Linked DNA regions of Arabidopsis thaliana. The protein of the gene in region 2 interacts with the protein of the main gene of each other region in a biochemical or structural test. Each region holds a gene or a part of one and is shown on either strand. Other genes may lie near its edges.

Region 1 (11,412 bases), on a different chromosome or scaffold from region 2:
TGTTATATTGACGTCAAAAGAAATTTGTTGAAAGTTGAAATTTAGAAGCTGACTTTTGCCCAACAATATATAATGTAATTATGTTAAACATGTAAATAAAGTGTGAAAGTCTGGTCAATAATTTTTATTTATTTGTTAATGTTTACACATTTTGATGAGAAGTAGTTGTTGGTTGTGATGTATCCAAGGATAGCATGTGTTACCCAGAACCTTGTTTTGTCTTGTTTCTTTTTTCTTAAGTTCATTATTTTATTTTATAAGTTACTACGTGAGAGTATACCAACAAAAAAAAAAAAAAATGATAATTTTGTCATTTCACGCCGACTGACTTTAAATTATTTTTTGTGCACATATTTTTATTTCATATTATAAATTTTCGTCTTTGCACAAAACATAACGATATAATGTTCGTCATAATTAACACAGTGGATGAATTTGTCACTGCTTTGAATTGATGTATTCATCATCACCATCAATATTATTTGGATTACACGAGCAACTTGAAAGAAGAGTATTTACTTTCAGCTTAGAGAAAGTTGAAATAATTCTTATTTTTAGAGGAATGGTGATATATATGATTTGAAGTCATCATCCATATCTTTGGACGTGACTCGCAGAGTCATTCTTTGCTTTTGGTTTTGCATAAAGTTTTATAGTAGTGCAAACAGCCAAATGATCATCTGCAATTACAAATAACAATACAATTTACATGTATTATATTATTATCGTAAATAATTTTAATATTATTTTATTATAATTTCTTAAGTTTCCCTATAGCAAATTACTACGGATTTGCAAGGATGTATATTATTATTTTGTGTCAAATCAAATTATTTAAAAGAGTTATTGCAAATCCATAGCAATACTTGCCAATGATTTACTAGACATATTTTGTGAAGGATCTATTACGAAAATCTTTCTTCCCAAAATTTACATGATATTTACGAAGTATTCGAATTTGCAAAAACCGAATTACGAGAGAATGTCTTTTCTCGTAATTATCTGGCAACTTGCAAATAACATGTTTTCTTGAGTGTCTGCCCATGAAGAAGAGCCGTAGCACTGAGAAGCCCTCTCATTGTAAATATTGTGTTGTCTTCATCTTCGCTGAAACGCTCTCTCATTGTAAATGTCTTGTTGTTGGCTTCATCTTCTTTCTATGATAGAGTCTTTTGAGATAGAGTCTTTCGGGACTGGATTATATGATAATCTTTCGAGAACAACACATCCCTCGAATGTGAGTTCGCATTGCTAGCTAATCACTCTCTTTCGCTCGAATTTACAACATTGTAAATATCTTGATTTATGAAAACCAAAACTATACGAAAACCAAGAATGTTCTTGTTTTAGAATTAAATTTAAATATTATCTTCAAGATGAAATTGATCAAACAGACAAAAGAGTGATAGAATAATCACATTAGGCCATTAAAAAGCAAAGTGCCTTGTCTCTTCAAAGGCAAAGGGCCTTGTTTCTTCAAAGGCAAATTTGCAAAGCTCATATCGAGTAGGAGTTTTAAGAACAATGACTAACAATAACAAAAAGAAAAAAGAGTTTTGGAAGAGTTATGGCAATACACAAGAGTTCTCTTCCCTCTACTGTAATGACTTTTAAAGAGAGATTTGTGAAGACAAAACAAAAGATGAGTCATGATGGGGTTGGTTTTCGGTAAATGTTTGTGTTGTTGTGCAACTCCAACTACACAGTGTAGTGATGTCCTGCTGTATCAATGTCCAATCCCTTTAGCTTTGCGACTGATTCCACATGTCCCTTCAATGTGTGAAGCTCCCTAAGCCTGTCACAACATAATATTAAATCATTCACCAATCAGAACCTCTATCAAATGGCATCTTTCCGTTGAGATTCGTTTTAATCACACTACTTACCTAGCTATCTCGGCCCTTCTCTTGGCTTGCTCTGCGATCTCAGACAGCTCTCTGTAACTTCCTTTCTCTGGGAAGATATTAACATCTTCTTTTGGCTGCAGACCGTGCAATGTCCTTTGAGCTTGTGCCCATTGAGCTTCTCTTTCTCCAATACCGTAATCTTTCTTGGTTGTGAAAGCGGTCTGTTAACATAGAAGAAGATGTGATTAGTATGTTACCATCAGCTTGTAAAAGAGGTCTCTATAGTGGTAGATAGACTTGTATGTACCCTGTTGTCAAACAAGCTGGCCCAAGCCTTTCCACTCAAGATATACCGAATGGCAAACTTCAAAATGTCCTGTGGGAAGTATGTTACGATACTGTAAATCCAAATCACACCTGCCCATCCCCAACCGATACCCTTCACCTTTGCAAATGTCCAGTCGGCATACACTGCGATCAAAGTTGCAACCTGCATTTGGAAGGAGTGAATGAATTCAGTGGGTTTCTTTAACCTAATCGAAGTTCAGAAAATATGTGTGCTTGATGTCCTTACCAGTTGTGCAATGACGAATGCAATCATCAGAAGCGCCCCAGGACGTTCGACAAATGACCAACTCCTTGACCTGGTGACAAAGATTAGAGCTTGACTGATGATACTAACTTGTAGATACACAGCACCCATTAGTTCATCGTTATTGTCCCTGATTGACCTCACACCGAACTTGTCCTGCAAATCGAAGGTGAGACAATTTTTTAAGACTCAGAGCAAAAGGCCTGGCCATATATATCTATATAGTCCCTGAAGCACCTGTACCAAAAAAAAGAGAAAAGAAATGAAAATAAACTGATGATGTACCGAGAAAAAGTCGGTCTTGTGAGCAGCCCAGAAGAAAATAACACTCATAATGGCTTGGTAGCCTCCCAGCACAATTCCAGTGGCGAAAATTTCTTTGAGCTTCCAGCTATCAGGTGTGGGAGATGGCTTGACTCTGTCCTTTGAGATTGTCATGATAGTACCTAAAAGGTAGTAACACATAATACCATAAGATATAGCTGATAACGAGTGAGGACGCTGTCTAGAAAAGTAGGATGTTATTTGCTCACCATCATTAAGGATGGCAATAATCAGAACCATGAACGCTGAGAAGTCAAATTCCCATATCAAAGCAATAAGCATGAAACCAAACTGCAAGAGTTACAACGCAATATGATCAGTATACAAAAAGTAAAATCATGCTAAACAAGTGATAGATTTGTAAAACGGGTTTCTACTTACCACAATACGGATTGTGATTGAGACTGCATAAATCTGTCACAAGCAGGAAACTAAAATTATTAGTTTCCAGCGCAAACGAACACAAGTGGTGGGCATAATATATTAGAGTGAGATTAAGAATACGCACGGTGTAGTTCTTCATTCTCTGGAAGATAGCTCTGCTAGTGAGAACGGCACTGATGATGACACTCAGCCCAGGTTCCGTGAGGACGATATCTGAAGCACCACGAGCAGCATCTGTAGCATCGGCCACAGCAATACCGATATCTGCTTTCTTCAAAGCGGGTGCATCATTAACACCATCACCGGTCATACCAACAATGTGCTTCCTCTCCTGCAGCTTTTTCACAATTTCATATTTGTGCTCTGCAATCAGTAACCATAAGAACCTTGGATCAATATAACAAAACTTTATAATGAACATGTGATGAGGTTTGAAACTGAAAGCAAGGCATAACCTGGAAAGACGCCGGCAAACCCATCAGCCTTCTCGATCAACTCCTCAACAGGGATGGATGCAATGTTCGAGTCCTTGTCGGTACCGAGAAGAGCCGCAGATGGATACATATTGGTTCCCATTCCAAGCCTGCGACCGGTTTCCTTACCAATAGCAAGTTGATCACCTGGCAACGTAGTTAGAGCGCAAGTTAGGGGAAAACATCTAAATAACCATGGATTTCATGGGAAAAAAATGATGAATAAGAATAGTTACCAGTGATCATCTTCACATTAACACCTAGATTCAACGCCCTACGAATGGTTTCGGCACTGTCGTGTCTTGGAGGGTCAAAAAGAGGCAACAAGCCAACAAATTCCCATGGTCCACCTGGGCTTTCTTTTGTTTTCTCGGGTACCACCTAAAAAGGAATATGCAATTAAACAGTTGATTTACAGGCCAAAAAAAAAACCCAAATAAGACCAATGTAAAAATTGCTTGTAAAAAAGTACCTGACGAGCTACTGCCAACGACCTAAGACCGCGCTCAGCGTACTTGTCAATACAAGAGAGTACCTTCTTCCTAAGGTCAGGCCTGGCATTGGCAAGGTCAAGGATCTGTGTGGGAGAATCGAATTAGTACACAGAATAAAGGAAAAACGCAACATCTTTAGGAGAAAGTTGAAGATTCATCACCTGCTCGGGAGCACCTTTGCTGACTCTGTGCCAGTTACCATCAGAGTCGATGTAAGTCAAAGCAGTTCTCTTATCCACAGGGTTGAATGGAAGGAAGTGAACCTCTCTGATTCCAGCTCGGGCCTATGAAAATCCAAGTGAAACATAAGAAATTAAGAACTTGTTTTCTCGACCTTTCACTAAACTAAAGAAGTAATTCAAAATGATTAGAGTTATACCTCTTTCGGATCAGCAAGCATTCCAACCATGGCTGCATCAATAGCGTCCTGGTTCTCCACCCTAGAAGCCATAGCTGCAAATAGTAGAACTTGATCTTTCTCCACACCCTTGCAGAAAACCTCAACCAAGTTTTTATCCACACTCAATTTATTAAGGGTTAGTGTCCCGGTTTTGTCACTGCAAAGGACATCCATTCCCGCCATTTCTTCAATGGCTGTCATACGTTTGGTGATAGCACCTTGCTGAGACAACCTGTGAGACCCGATAGCCATAGTCACAGACAAGACCGTGGGCATAGCAATGGGGATACCACCGATCAAGAGGACCAAGAGATTGTCAATTCCATCTCTGTACTTTCGGTGTTGGATAGGGTACATGACGACTATTTCAATCGCTATACCAATAGCAATAGAACAGATACAGAAGTTTCCAATGGATGTAAGAACTTTCTGGAAGTGCCCAACTTGGTTAGTGCTGTCCACAAGGTGAGCAGCTTTACCAAAGAAGGTGTGAACTCCAGTGGCTATAACAACCGCTTCGATTTCTCCTTGTTTACAAGTTGAACCAGAGAAAACTTCTTGACCAGGGTGCTTGGTCACAGGAAGGGACTCTCCAGTTAGAGCAGACTGATCAACCTTTAAAGGATCTCCTTCAAGAAGACGGGCATCGGCTGGGATAATGTCTCCAAGTTTAATGCTAACAATATCACCTGGGACAAGGATAGCAGCCTCTTGTTCACTCCATTTTCCATCCCTAAGAACCTGAAAACAGAGAAACAGGTTAAGCTCTCTAGAAGTCTCGAAATATCTTGTACAGTAATGTCACAGCATCCACCAACATATTACCTTGGTTTTAGGAGCAAGACCAGCCATGAGAGCAGCTGCAGCATTTCCGGCGTTGTTTTCTTCAATGAAACTGATTGTGGAGTTGATAACAAGCAGACAGATAATACCCACAAAATCTTGCCAATCCGGAGGTCGATTATCACCATTAGCCAAAGCAATGGCCATGAGAGCTGCAGCTTCCATAACCCATGAAAGCGGATTCCACATGAACCCCAGAAACTTCAGAATTTTGCTTTCCTGATATTTTTTTACGAAAGATCAACCTCGTGAGTTAAACAAAACCAAAGCTTTCAATGATGATAAAACAACAATGCTAAGTCAAACTCAAACCTTCTTCTCTTCGAGCTTGTTGGGGCCAAATATCACAATCCTGTCTTCCCCTTCCTGCGTTGTCAATCCTTCCCTTGTACATTTTAGCTGCTGGAAAACTTCCTCAATCGGAATTTTTTCCTGAGAATCAAAGCAAAAGTTTTGATCAGAACCCAAACAATAGTAACTCAAACATCAAACAAGAACAAAAGGGTAAAAAAGACAAAAACTTTTCTAGTTTTGAAATCTTTTTACAAATGTCAGAAACGATCCAACTCGGCGACTCGGAAGATGAAGAGTGGCGTTGACTCAAGTTGTGACAATGAAAGGTGAAAAGAATCTGGCAGTGGAGGATAGAGGGACCACCACCACCACCACCACTACTACTACTACTTCAATGCACGTGTTATGGAACGTGTAACACACGCGCCTGCGGGATTCCCTCCATGAAAGGTGGCTACTTTCCGGCGTGAAAGCCAAAGTCCGGTTAAGGGTATTTCGGTCATAAAACAATTTCACTAAACAAAATCAATTACAATAGAGGAATTCACAAGTTGCTTCTACTGATAGATGTTTTACAAAAGGACAAAGAAGTTCAAAAAAAAAAAAAACGTACTACGGAAAGGTACATCAAAAAAATTCGAACATCAACAACAATTTAAAAAAAAGTTGAAAACTTAAATTTATTAAAAACTCTGGTATTTTTCATGGGTGGAAGATAGAAGAATATTATGAACTGCTTTAACATCAAAAACGTTATCTTTACAAAAAAAAGATGATTTTTTTTAGAGAAAGAAAGTTATATATCACAAGCAAAATCAAACTTTTTGCGATTTTTTTCTCTTTTAATAAATATGTGAAAGAGACTTTTGTTGAGACGTAGCTTAAGCTTAGCTCCACCACTAAAAAGACTTATCTTTTTATTCAGCGTTTCACATGTGTGTAGTTTTTGGGTAGATCTACTTTTTCTGATGAACAGTATCAAAATCTACTTATTTTTGGCTTAATACCTAAAACCTTTAAAAGACATCTGTTATTTTACCCTAATTTTAGACCAAAATTAATAAAGTTGGAATCTTGATTTGGGTTTTGTATAGGATCCATGATAGAATCATCGAAAATGAGGCAGATACAATTGGGGGGAAAAATCGGTTTTTTTTTTTTTTGCGGATTTTTCGGGTTCTTGAGGAATTAAGATTCAGTTTTCGATCAAAGAAAAAAGGAGTAGAATCATCGGAAAATGATTTGAAGAAAAAAGGGTAAAAGAATCAAACGTGAAACCATGCAAGGAACAACAACGAAACAGATCTATTTCTCATTCAAGCAAATCATCGAACACTTTGTGGGCATGATGAATAAACACTAAAAATGAAATTAAAAACTCGAAGAATTTAAGCGAGAAGAGAATCGAAATAATACCAGATCAACGGTCTCGTTCTTGATATCTTCGAGACCTGACATCTTCACCCAGAAGAAATCAACAAAACGACGCCCCTCTCTGTCGTTTCACCACTCGATCACACACACACACACGAGAGAGAGAGAGAGAAAGCGAGCTTCTGTTGCAGAGGAGATATACGCCTTCTCTTTTTATAACCACTCAAAACGACGAAACTCTCCACCGTTTCAGACTTTTATTTTTCATTCATTTCGACCGTTGATTATGATTTGGTGATCATCAATGGTTGTTAATTGTTTATGGGTCCTTTCTCACTTGGAAAACGTATATTTGACTTTGGATTTTTGGTTTTATAATTAAAATTTCAGATATCATACTGTTTTTTGAAACATTGTTTACTTAAACTGGTTTTATACTCTGATCCTGTAATGTAAGAGAATCTATATTTATTTTTTTCTATTAAGAGAAACTTTTTACTTTTGAGTATCAAATTTAGTAGAAATCTTAACATTAACACAAATTTAGGATAATATACTAAACTTACATAAGAAATTTAATTCTATGGAGTTAGTATTTTTCTAGATATTTATGCATATTAGAATATGATTTAAAAGACAAAACTGTAATGTATAGATTTTAAAAAATTATACAGTATTGAATTATCATAAGAAAAATATCTAAGATAAATTTAAATTTTTGATTAATATTGTGGTTATGTATGGACAGAAAATATGCACAATCATAAGTTCTTCACTGATATCTTTTTGTGTATATAAAATTGATAATCAATAAGGAAAAATAATATACATAATAATTATATGAACATTGAATAATGCTTAAAATTTGGGTTCTTTTTTGTTCCCAAAGAGTTGTGCAAAGCTAATCTTAATGACTTCTATATAAGTTACTCATTTTGAAGGAAAAAAAAAACAAACAAAATTTAAAATACATACATGGATTTGTGAATATACATATATATATATATATATATATATAGAGAGAGAGAGAGAGAGAGAGAGAGAGTAATATAGATATAACATGTATATTTGATATATGTGTGTAGATACTAACTTTATAATTCCCTATGAGACAAATGCAAAAGTTATTTTCTAGATCAACCTAATTTGCTCATAAGTTTAATTTTCATGTTGATTGTTTAGGTCGGACTTTTAAATCAAAGTGTTTTTAAAACAATTCGTATGTAAACATTTTTCCTTCGGATTATACAACCAATCAAAAAGTTGAATTTTAATTAATTTGTAATTGGAAAATTAAAATCAACCCGTATAATACTAATTTGTTTAATAATATGTTAAATAATAGTGGCGAAGTAGAAACCGAGAAAATAAAAATTTAAATGATAATTACTAATTGAGATAAAAAAAACTAAATATTTTCTAAGTTTAGTGAAACATAAAGTTAAAATGACGATTCTAAAACACTATTTAAGAATACCGATGTTGAAAAGAGATGTTCATAAATTTATTACTGATGTTCAAATAAATTAACTTGACCTGTTTTAAAGGTGGTGAGTACACTAAATTAACTTGATTTGGTCTCTTAAGGAAATTAAAAGACAAGTGTGAAAAAAAAAAAAAAAATTAAAAGACAAGTTTCTTCCAGAAAAAGGGATGTTTTGAAATATAAAATTAGGTTTAGACACAGATTATAAAATTTAGGAGTTTGGGGGAAAATATTCAGATGACGTCGATCTAAAACTATAATAAAACACATATTAAGCTAGTAATGATATAAAACAATTTGTTATATGTGAAATTTTGGTAATCCTAATCTCATATTTATGGCTTTAAAGGATTGTAATGAAGCAATGGCTCTTCCAAGGTGCCTCATGGCAAGGTCAGCAATTGCTGGAACAATTCACATGTTTGTGGATATCATTATTTTTGTAATTTAACCAAAAATTGTTTTCAAGGTTATTTATTTATTTATTCAGCAAATTGGCTGATGAATATTGACTTTTTGATCGTGCTGGGTCCCCCAATAATACACCTCCCCTACGTAATTTTTTTTTCTTGCTTCCATAAATTCGATTGTATTTTATCTAAAAGATCGATTTCATAAGAGAATTTTAAAAACAAAGAAACAAGAAGATGATGGTTTAATTCAACTGGATATATATCGGCACATATGGGCAGGTTTTTCTCATTTATTATTTGATCATTTATGTATCTGATAGACAAAATCAATTTAACTTTCATAGGTAAATACATAAAAGTATTTATTTAAATGTGTATGCTTTTTTTTTTAGGATTTCAAAAAGTTAAATTTATTCGTCATATTCTTTGTTTTTATAACAAGGAAATATAAAACCAACATCCAAATAATCAGATCTATTTTTTGAAACATTTTTAGCTGAGTTAATTAGCAAAATATTAATGGAAAATATACAAAACAAATTACAAAAAATAATAATCATGTGATTTCTTGCCATCAATTAGTTTTCGGTAAAACTATTTCTGTGCTAAATTGTTTTGTACGTAGAATATTAGTATGATATGGCATCCTGAAATCATATAGCTTCAACTCTATTTAATAAAATCTGTTAACATTAAAATCATATAATATAAAAGTGATATATTACAGAAAAGAAAATCACCCATTTAGGTTAAATGAAAGGTTAGATCATCCAAACAAAATAGAATTTTTATATTCCATCATTCCATTATTATTAGTTCTTAGCCTAATCTTTTTTTTCTCTCGTACTTAATAGTATTCATTATTATATTAGCCTCCAAAAAAGAAAATCATTTGTTACCACGTTTTCTTAAATTTTACCAATGAATAAAACGAGTAGCTCTACGTGAATATTAAATGAAATATTTTTGAAGGTCAACTATTAAAGTACTTTTTCATTTGCTTTTAGTTAGTTATTTAAAATTATATTTTTAGCAACTATAAAAAAAATTAGCCATTTTGCAAATTAACCCTTGCTTTTGATTCTGTTTGATATATCAATTGATTATATATAAACACTTGAAAAATATTTTAGCATAGAAAAGGTCGCTAATTAAATTTTTACAGAGGTCTGTTAAAAACAATTTTGAAACTATTCAGTAAGTTATGCTCGCTAAACTGTTATCTGTAAATACTAATTTTAAGTGGTATTTTTTAGAAAACTAACGCTAGTACTACAATACCCCAAATTACTTTTGTTTCTATCACTTCTTTTTTCTATTTTCCATTTCTACCACAAACACAAGTAAAAGATTGTATATATGTTTTAATACAACCATACAGTTCAGCAGACAGAATCCAAATAGAACACCAATAATATATAATAAGTTTGTTTTGCATAAAAGTTTACTTTCATCCTCATGCGAACATATTAGAATCCAAGTGTTTATTATTTATTCATATAATTATAAGTACTAGCATAATGATAATTTTGTTAATACACTGACATCAATATAGCGAGGGCGATAAGTTTTCAACTACGCTTGTGATTAGATCATTCGTCGTAGAAATGGTCACATAATTAAAAATAAATTGACAATTGTATTTTCAATTTTATAAACATATGAAAACAACACGATTCTTCTCTTTTTTAAGACCCAGCAAGATTTCATAACTGAATCACAAATTAACAAATATGAATCAAAAATATAAACTATCTCTCTGCCACTGAACCTAATGATACTTTCGTGAAGGTTCGCGATATATCGTTATCAGGAAAAGTAATGTTATAGTCTTACTTATTCCTTTTTTTGGAAGAGGTGATGGGAAGAGTTATATTTAATCAAGTGTCGTTAGCTCAATTGATAAATACTTTAAGCGAAATTTAGAGGTCGCCGGTTTGAGTGACAACGAAACTAATATTACATGTTGTGGTTTCGGGCCTGGGGATTACGGGCTCCGGCCCAGAACCTCCTGATATTCAAAAAAAAAAAAGAAAAAAAAAAAAAGAAGTTATATTTAAGTATTGTTTATTTTACTAACGAAAAATGATTACCGATAACAATAAGCAACGTGTTTTGTTATTCATTTCTTTAACACTAACGACCAACGACCAACAAATAACCCGTTTTAATTATTGTTTGTATTAGTATGAGCCTAACTCATACATAAAAGCTAGCTCAAAAATAAAGATTTACCACATACTTATATATTGTTTTATAAATTATCAAAGTTTTGATGTGGGATATATTTTAATAGTTTGTTTTGTTATCAACGTAGATTAATATGTATATTACTTATAAATTTTTGATTTAAGACTCATGTATGTGTAGTAGTAAAATTTTAAGTAAAACTAACACTTTATAAAAACTAAACGAACATGTTACGTTAGTCACCTTTTTTTGTGTGCAAACGTTAGTCACCTTGGTACATAATTTTACTCAACGAAAC
Region 2 (8,787 bases):
GTTCCGTGGAGAGAAAGTGGACTTGATCAATTTCGATGATGTCTGTTTCCTCTCTGATGTGTTGTTCACAGAGCTTGATAGGAGTCTCGAAAGCCTGTTCGCTACTTTATTCAAACAAAAGGCTGAAACTTGTCCTACATTTGAAAGTACAGAAGATAGTATTGAATTAGCTTCGCTGTTCTTAAAATGTTGTATGAAGATCATGTCTTTACTTGTGGCCAAACAAGAGCTTGTTCTGGAGAAGGCCAAAACTCTTCTCTCGATCCTCGGTAGATTGATTCGTGCAAGAAATGGAGATTGTTCTTTTGTATTCACGCATGACGGTTCTTTAGATCCCCGTCATACGTTTCTTTGTACAGGGATTGAGGTAAAAGTTAACTAATTTGTGGCTCATTTTTATCTTGGATTTCTGATGAACTTGTGGCTTTTTGACTATACCTTTGGCAAGGGCTTTTAAGTTGAAGAAAGCATGCTCACTGGGTTTTTGATTATTTATATGTACAGGTTTTTATGGATGAGATTTTGGTGAATAAGTCAATCAGCGACCTTCTTTTCGTAGTTGATTCTGCATTCTCCTCATGTAGACTGTTTAGTAAGCATGATAGGGCCGGTGTGGTGCAAATCGTTTCTGCTCATTTTATTATCGCAACTTCTGATGAGAAAACGAATCAAATGTGTGTTGAGAGATTATATTGGAAGAAAGGTAATGCATTTAGAACTCCCCAGATAAGCTTGAGTGCTGCTGTGTCCTTGCTGCTAAACCCGGTTATGTTCTCTGCACCAAAAATGATCCATGCCTATGTGGTTTTATTGGTGTCTGACGCCATTGGTATTTGTTCACATCCATGTTTTAAGGGATTAGACCTTCAGCTTATTGATCACTATATTGATGCATTTGAAAAGTCTGTTGTTTTGTATAAGAGACACATGTCTAAGAGTGAGAATGGCCTGTCTGGGAAGTTTGGCTTTTTGACGAGTAAGTCTCGGGTGGCTTTTGAACATCGTCTTTTGCCCTCAACACTGGCGAAAGTTAATGATGTTACACAGCAGCTAAAGGATTCATGGGATTCATATCAAAGTGATAATGCGAAGAGAGAAAACAATGAGCTGGTAGCGTATTCTGTTGCATACGCAAAGGAAAGCTTATGTGTATTTGATAGCTCCTGCTCTGAAAGTATGTTGTCTCAGACCTTATCAATTCTTGGTTGCGTGATACTTAGAGCTAGTTCTGATGATGTTATGGACTCTGTGTTGGAAAAATACAACACATCTAGTATGGAAGATCTATATCTGCTTGCATCCACACTTAAGTTCATGACTTGTTCGATGTTGCAAGCCATCCGGGTTCTCAGGAATTGGAACTGGCATGAAGCTGGAGGTGATGTTCGAGCTTGCAAGGAATACAAAGCCATGATGGATGTTGTTCAACGTTTTGAACAGTTCAATATTCATATGCCCTGTCAAAGTTTCCTGCGCGATAGAATGGAATCTTACCCTCACAGATCTAAGTGGATGCTTATGCATTTTTCAGGCTTACTGTCTGTAAGCTTTGCACTCAAGCTTGACTTTCTAGTGAAGGACTCCATTTTTGGAATGGTGATATCTATGTATTTATTCATCCTAGAAGGGGGTGACTTGGAAGCACTTGGGGATTCAGTTGGTCACTCAGAAAACACGTCATCGTCTATACTATCCAGTGGTTCCAAAAACTTGGCTGCTTCTGGTAAAGCTGACAAGGTAACAACTAAAAACTCTTTTGCACAAAGTCTAAATTCTGCGCTTTTCTAAATGGATCAATATAATTATATGGTACAGACAGCAGTAGATAGGAAACAGAGCGGGGCAGTTGCTTTGAAGTTTCACAAAAACCGAACTTTGTACTTGGGGTATGTATAGACCAGCAAAAGTCATATTTTTTCTCTTCTTCGCTTTCATAATGCATCCATGAGAGCTTTAACCAACAACTACATATTACTCCATGGTTGTGCAGGAAGGTGTCTGAAGCTAAAGGTCCAGAGAATGGTTCAGATTCAGGAGTTGGTGTTGAAGAGGAAACCTGCAATGGGGAGAGATTTCTGTGGTGTATGGCAGGAAAAGGTAACGTGACAAAAACCGATGTGGACGAGTTGGCAGATTTCATAGCGTGTGATCCCGGTAAGGACTACTCCGACTGGCTAAAAGGGAGAGAACGATTTCGGAACCAACGGTGGAAGTCAGACAAGATTGCTAAAGAAAGGTGGAATAAGAAGCAAAAAGCTTGGAGAGAGAACAGAGGAAGAGGGTCTAAAAGCTGAATGTTAATCTTCTGTTGTAAAAGAGTTCATCATGTAGAAATGTCACTACTTTAGTCTCTGATAATTATGTATAAAATGGTTTCTATTATCATGGAAATTTTTTGACCCAACGACCTTGCAAAGAGACGAAAAGAAATATCAAATCTCAAGCAGTACATTATGGAAAACTATAAAATGTAACAAAAACTGTTTTCTTCCTTCAAAGTTAAAGCCTCAACAACAGAAGAGAAGATTGTAAAAAGTACTTAAAAGAAAAGAGTCTCTACTCGTATGTAAAAGATGCATAAGCTTATGAGTTTTTTAAGAGTCAAGAAGGCAAAAATCCCAGTTTTAAAGTATTCCAAACTACAACAAGACAGCTTCGCTTGATCACTCCGTTCGATCTAGAGAACGTAGTAGTAACCCAAGACAAGAAGCAACAGTACCACCAGAGCCGCTGGAGCAGCATAAACCCAGTAATTAGTCGACTTCTTACGCTTAAGGATCGCTCTTGGGATCGTTTCTGGTCCCCTACCGCGGGTCCTGTTCCTTATTGGTTTCTCCTTGAAGACTTTTTCCTTCTGCGGTTTCTCCTCCTGCACCGGAGCTTCAATCTCCTCCTCAGAAGCTTCTGGAACTTCCTCAGTCTCGGTTTCTGTGTTGCCTCCGGTTTTCTTCTTGGCCTTCTTCTCTTGCTCCTGCAACACACAAAAAAAGATGGCGAGAACTGTTAGAATGGAGAGAGAAGAATGCAAAGAGCATTGAGGTACAACAAAAAAGAAAAGGTAATTTCCTTCTTTTCTTTCTTCTCAGCTTCCTTTTGAGCTCTTATAGCAGCTTTAGCAGCAGCTTTCTCTGCCAGCTTCTTCTTCCTTTCCATGGCTTGCTTGGCTTTAGCAATCTCCTCTTGCTTTCTCATTTCCTTCGCCGTAGCTGCATCAACCGGCTTTTCTTCCTTCTGCGGCTTTCCAAGACCATATACTTCATCATCATCATCATCAGCAACATTCTTTACTTTTACTGCATCTTTAGCTTTCTCAGTATTCTGAGCAACAGTAGCATCTGGTTTAGGTGCAGAAACTGGTTCCTCCTTTGGCTGCGGCTTTGCCTTAGCTTTAGGGACAACCTCGGTTTCAGAAGGCGTTGCCTTTGATGGTGCTGCCTCTGGAGCAATCAGAGGCTTCTCATCGGGGTTCCTCATCCGTCCATCTCGGCTCAGCTGCCTAGAATCAAGTGATTGCAAGATTCTCTTCTCATAATCTTCTCTGAAATTCTTCTTACTGCACCAAAGGGATATAAATTTCTCAACCTCAGCATTGGCTAGCGCCTCAAGCTCGCTTATGTTCTTTTGTGCAGCCAAGTCTCTAGCTTTGTTCAACACAGTACGGTTTTGGTAATACTCGGAATTCTGTATGAGAAAAGAATACAAAAATCAAAGATTACTAATTGACACAAACGAATCCTTCTTCATCAGAAGAAAATGCTCAAAAGTAAGTGTTTGTACCGTCTCATCGCGTTGCCTCCTGAGGTCATGAATGTTTGAATAGGCTTTGTCTCTCTTTTCGCTCACAGTCTTGAGCTCATTTTCCAGTACCGTAATCTCATCTTTGGTAGCTTTCAACTTCTCACTCAGCTCATTAATCCTTGCTGAAATTGCTTGCCTCTCCTTTTTCACTCCATCCAAACCAGCACCCATTAACTGCAAAAAGCATCACATATGAAACCAACTTCTACAGACTATATAACAGCAAGAATCCGGCCACAACTCTCTTACCTTAACTTGACCTTGGATATCATCCTTCTGACCCATAGATTCTTTGATTTTGGCTCTCATAGCGGCATTAGCAATGACCTTATCTCTTGTCCCTTCAAGCAGCCTGATCTCTTTGAGAATCTGCTTCTCCTCGGTTAACGGAATGCTTTCATGTTGAATCCGATACTGATAGCTGTATATCTTCATTTTCCACAAACTCAGGCAAATGAGAATACCGAAAAGGCTAACCAAAGCTATCGAAAACAAAAAAAAAGGTCTCATATAATTACCATACTATTCAGCTCTTCCTCGGAGGAACAGATAGCAGGGCCACGAGCACTCCCACCATCATTGCTCCTTAACTTTCCCAGTGCTTGCTGCAATGGTTCCATTTCCTTTCTTTTCTCATCAAACATTGTGTTGAATCCCTTACGCTCTGACTTCAACGGGTCCAGCAGATCAAATAACTCTGATCTCTCGGCCTAGGCATTACCAAAACCGCATTATCAGCACCACTATAAAAGAAATAACGAAACTCCTAAATCCGACACAAGAAGGTAGCAAAAAAAACATACCCTCTTAGCTCTCAACTTGTCCAAAACTCCAGTCCGAGCTTTGTTCAACTTTTCAAGCTCTTTATCAGCTAGATCAAGCTTAGCTTTAATTTTGGGGTCAGCGTAAGAACGGTATTTAACAAGGTAGAAAGAGTGGATCTGCTTAGCCACAGGCCACTCTTCTGCTGCATTTTTGGGTGCATCAGAGTTGACCACTTTGTTATTATTCTCTTCGGCATTCTTTGGTAGCTCACCGACTGAACCAAAATTGATGGGGGCATCATCTCCTTTTCCTTGGTCCAGCTTCCCGTTCTTCTCAGGTTTCCCCTCGAAAGGAGCCGGAGCAACCTCAAATCCACCAGAGTTTACAACTTCAACACCCATTGTTTCAAACACAGGATTGATCCTAATACCAAAAAATACATCAAAAACATCAGTCCAATATAACGGATCCAAAACTAATCTACGATTAAAATCGCACTTGAAGGGATCTATAATGCAAAGATCTGTAAATAAAACTAGTCAATTATTCAATATTAAGACAGACGAGAACAAGATCAAATAAAAAACTAAGAACAGCAGATTCAAAATACATGCCAAAGATCAGGAGAGAGTAAATTCAAAACAAACGGAAACAAGTTAAATTAGCAAAAGATCAGAGACGATCGATAAAAATCAAAGCAAATAAAAGTCAATAGAGACAAGGGGAAGAGAGAAGGATACCGTGAAATGGAGATCTGAAGAGAGAAGAAGGAAGAGACAGACCCTTTTAGAGGAAAAGAGTCGCTATAAACTTTTTCCTCTGCCCAAGGATTTTTTGTGTGTTAAGCAAAAAATGGGGTCAGATCTCAATCTCTAAATATATCACTTGCATTTCTTGGAAACCCCACGAATTTGCATTCTTTTTCTCTTTCTTATTAATAAAAAATGATCTATTGTGATTTTTACCAAACCCGGTAAAATTGTATTTACAGATTTGTATGAATCTACTGCAATCTCCCCGATTGGGCCATTCATACTTTCTCCTACCTTTGTTTTGTTCGTTCATTTTTGACTAATTAAGGGCTTTATTCGTAAATTTTTTTTTTTTTATTGACTTGTTTTTGAATGTTATTAAATGTTTTAGGAGGAGCAGATATTATTTTAGGTTTCTAAATGTTTTTTTCTATTTGAGTAACGCATAACTTTGACTCAAAAACTTTAGATATCTTTGATTAGTTATATAAAAAAAAAACATTTAATTTTTAGTAGAATTTTGAAAGTACGTGTGATTGAATGTGAAGAAGACATACACTTTTATATGCAGAGTGGTCACGGGCATTGCGGTTACTGAAATGATAAAGTTCATAAAATGTTAGATAGAAATTAATCAGTAGAACAATCTAGCTGAAATGTTAGATACAAGCATTTACGAAATAAATAAAAATTTACAGAAAACTGAATAATTCGTAAAAAATGTTATTATATTTTTCATAAACTTTTTATACATTGGAGTTTTTTTTTTCTAATGTCTTCTATCATTCATGTTCCCGCAAATTATCGTGTGTTTGTAATTGTCATTTCAAGAATGCTGAAAGGTCTTAGAATTTACTAGTTACTCTATTAGTTCATGTATCAATCTTAACAAGAAGACAAGAAAAAACAAAAAAAAATCAAAGAGAAAATTGGGAGAAACTAGAAGAAGAAATAAAAAGACAAAAATGGGGAAGAGGTGGGAGATAGAAAGAAACAGTTGTTAGGTGGTGTTGAAAACGTGTGAAGTCTTCTTTGGCTATAAGGGCACAACTGTCCACTTTGCTGCGACACACGTCTTCTCTTCTCTCTCTGACCAAAATAATCACATGTCATGCGGATTAGATTCTTCTTCTTCGTATCGTACGTACTACATGATCAGTTGAAGTTCCGACGTTAGCTGATATTACCTAAACACCCTCCTTCATCACCGCCCCCAACTTGTGTGATGTGTGAACCAGAGAAGACTTTTTCTTTTTTAAGATGCAAAAATCAGTTACTCTTTTCTTCATTTTTCTGTATACTATTCTTAATATCATTCCATTTTCGTATAAATTTAGAAAATCTGATATTAATATCATCCACAAGTTTTTTGAAATTGTAAAGAACAATGTGATTGATTTGTTGAAATTCCCTACTTTAAATTCTGTATGTCTTTGATACCACTCGCAATTGGGATCCATTTCATAGCTAAAGATCTAGTTCCATCAAATCTTATGTGAAAACATACATCGGTTTAAACTACACACAGGTTTAGACTAAATCCGTTTACCTATAACAGCTAAAACCGGTTTCATACCAAGTCTGAGCTACAATCCAAAATCATAGTTATTTATGCTCATTCATCGGAAGCTGAGGCAGACTGTTTCAGACAATCACGCATGATCTCTCCAAGTTTTGAACTAGCATCCAAGCAAAGCTGCATTGCCTGCAATATTTGAAATACAAATGTTTGGTAACATGTCTGCACAGCTCCTATGTCACAATTATATGTTAACAACATAGACCCTATGGTATGAACAGCTTAAAAAGAAAATGAAGAACAGTCTAATTAACCAATATCCATGTGATTTAGACAAACAAAGCAGTTGAATAACATCAATATTCAACACTAAGAAAAGAAAGACCTTTTGTCTCTAACCGTCATCGGCAAATTAAGGACAAGAGATATTATTGAAAGGCATACCTCGTTGATATTAGGTGTTGTCCATTCACCAGTGATGGTTAGCTGAGTGATTTCATAACGAGATGGCATGCACGTCATCATAAAGCTGCCATCTTCACATCCTTCCTCCTCTGTAACCGGGTCTATCATAAGGCTTTTGCCTATGCAAGACTTCGAAAATTGCAGGCATAATTTCAGTGTATCAAAATAAAGAATTAACAGATATCTATACGTTTTACATGTCTCAGACTATGGTGCACTTGTATATGTCAATGTATGTGTTACTTTCTTCTTCACTTAATGCTAATAAACATAAGAGATAACGCAGAGGAATCAATGCAACTATTGTAACATACACATACCACTGAAACAGCTGTGATAAGGTCATACATCATAATTCCGGCATCAGCTAAAGCAAGACTAGCACATGATATCAAAACAGAGAGGTCACCTGCAATACAATACCATTGGAGAAAATCAGAAAATGCCAAACAACAATCCAATAAGTTGCTTCCATAATCAACTCCACGAATGTCCAAGCGAACCAATAAGCAATCACATTCTGGTAAAATAATTTTGATAGCAGTCGAGTTATTGTTAAGACTTACTTCCTCCAGATTCAAGAACCAATGCAAAAACATCAACGGTTGTTTTTGGAAACGTCTCCATCATTATTACACCTTCCAATGCTTTGTGAAGCATTGATGAATATTCTTTGTGATCAGTTCCCTAAAATACCACAATGTATTACTAAATTTGATGAAACAAGTTAACACCAAATGTTGCGAAATTTGGAGATTACCTGGCCAAGAGTAGGGGAAGCAAAATTTGTATAGCTAACATTACAATTCAATCTACCTACATCACTATAAACCATTGCTTTCTTACTCTCCCTTGGCCCAAATCTAAAATTTTTGAACACACAAAAGCGAATTTAGCTGACAGAAAAGTTAATGCAAATCCTGAATATACAAGTTTTCTAATCTAATAATACTCACACTGAAACAATAACTTTAGTGTTCCCAAACTCAGCATAAGCAGAACCAGAAGCAGAACTCACAGCACCAGTTTGAAGTACTGAAAGAAGCATTTTTCACAAAAGAAACAAAATTCAAATCTAGTTTAGTCTCACAAATAACTGGAGTCATATGAATCCAACCGTAATTTCACAATGAAGAACCCTAACGATTAAGAATTTAGAGGAATCAAAGGTGTTTTTACATGCGGGTCGGCATTGGTGGAAGCCACGGCCATCAGGACGAGACCAATCGAGGTCGGAATCTTTGAATATAGGAAGCCGACTTCTTCCGACGATTTTAGGTGAATACGTTGGAGTTGCGGCTCCAGGTTTAGCTGCCATTGTTCTGAGCTGAGACTAAACAAAATCGAATCTGATTACTGAGAAAGAGTTGAGAAATCAATGGGTCAATCTCAGAGCTACGATGCGAAAGAAGCAACAGTTGGTCTAATAAGAAGAATCGTTACCCTGAGGGTTTGAGAGACAGAGAACGCGGCGGAGAGAGTGGAAGA

Evidence for each region.
Region 1: the proteins of PPI1 (region 2) and HA1 form a complex in vitro, tested with the Arabidopsis thaliana proteins (one study listed by BioGRID).

Annotation. Positions count from the first base shown.
Region 1 is NC_003071.7:8,217,555-8,228,966, reverse strand, and holds HA1 (H[+]-ATPase 1), read right to left. Parts: upstream 7,454-11,412; 5' UTR 7,110-7,453; coding exon 7,068-7,109; intron 6,815-7,067; exon of another isoform or gene 5,790-6,814; coding exon 5,670-5,789; intron 5,577-5,669; coding exon 5,340-5,576; intron 5,256-5,339; coding exon 4,494-5,255; intron 4,399-4,493; coding exon 4,276-4,398; intron 4,198-4,275; coding exon 4,093-4,197; intron 4,002-4,092; coding exon 3,857-4,001; intron 3,768-3,856; coding exon 3,603-3,767; intron 3,511-3,602; coding exon 3,272-3,510; intron 3,178-3,271; coding exon 3,145-3,177; intron 3,055-3,144; coding exon 2,973-3,054; intron 2,886-2,972; coding exon 2,725-2,885; intron 2,596-2,724; coding exon 2,422-2,595; intron 2,338-2,421; coding exon 2,155-2,337; intron 2,069-2,154; coding exon 1,887-2,068; intron 1,796-1,886; coding exon 1,699-1,795; 3' UTR 1,345-1,698; downstream 1-1,344. UniProt on the Arabidopsis thaliana protein: The plasma membrane H(+) ATPase of plants and fungi generates a proton gradient that drives the active transport of nutrients by H(+)-symport. The resulting external acidification and/or internal alkinization may mediate growth responses.
Region 2 is NC_003075.7:13,739,791-13,748,577, reverse strand, and holds PPI1 (proton pump interactor 1), read right to left. Parts: upstream 5,568-8,787; 5' UTR 5,304-5,567; intron 5,276-5,303; exon of another isoform or gene 4,987-5,275; 5' UTR 4,965-4,986; coding exon 4,602-4,964; intron 4,509-4,601; coding exon 4,317-4,508; intron 4,228-4,316; coding exon 4,048-4,227; intron 3,973-4,047; coding exon 3,778-3,972; intron 3,682-3,777; coding exon 3,067-3,681; coding exon of another isoform or gene 3,004-3,066; intron 2,974-3,003; exon of another isoform or gene 2,972-2,973; coding exon 2,678-2,971; 3' UTR 2,367-2,677; downstream 1-2,366. Other genes in the region: AT4G27510 (2-isopropylmalate synthase), read left to right, coding at 1-367, 505-1,737, 1,816-1,886, 1,991-2,294; RRP41L (3'-5'-exoribonuclease family protein), read right to left, coding at 6,931-7,020, 7,279-7,428, 7,620-7,708, 7,866-7,986, 8,060-8,162, 8,256-8,334, 8,479-8,617. UniProt on the Arabidopsis thaliana protein: Promotes AHA1 plasma membrane ATPase activity by binding to a site different from the 14-3-3 binding site.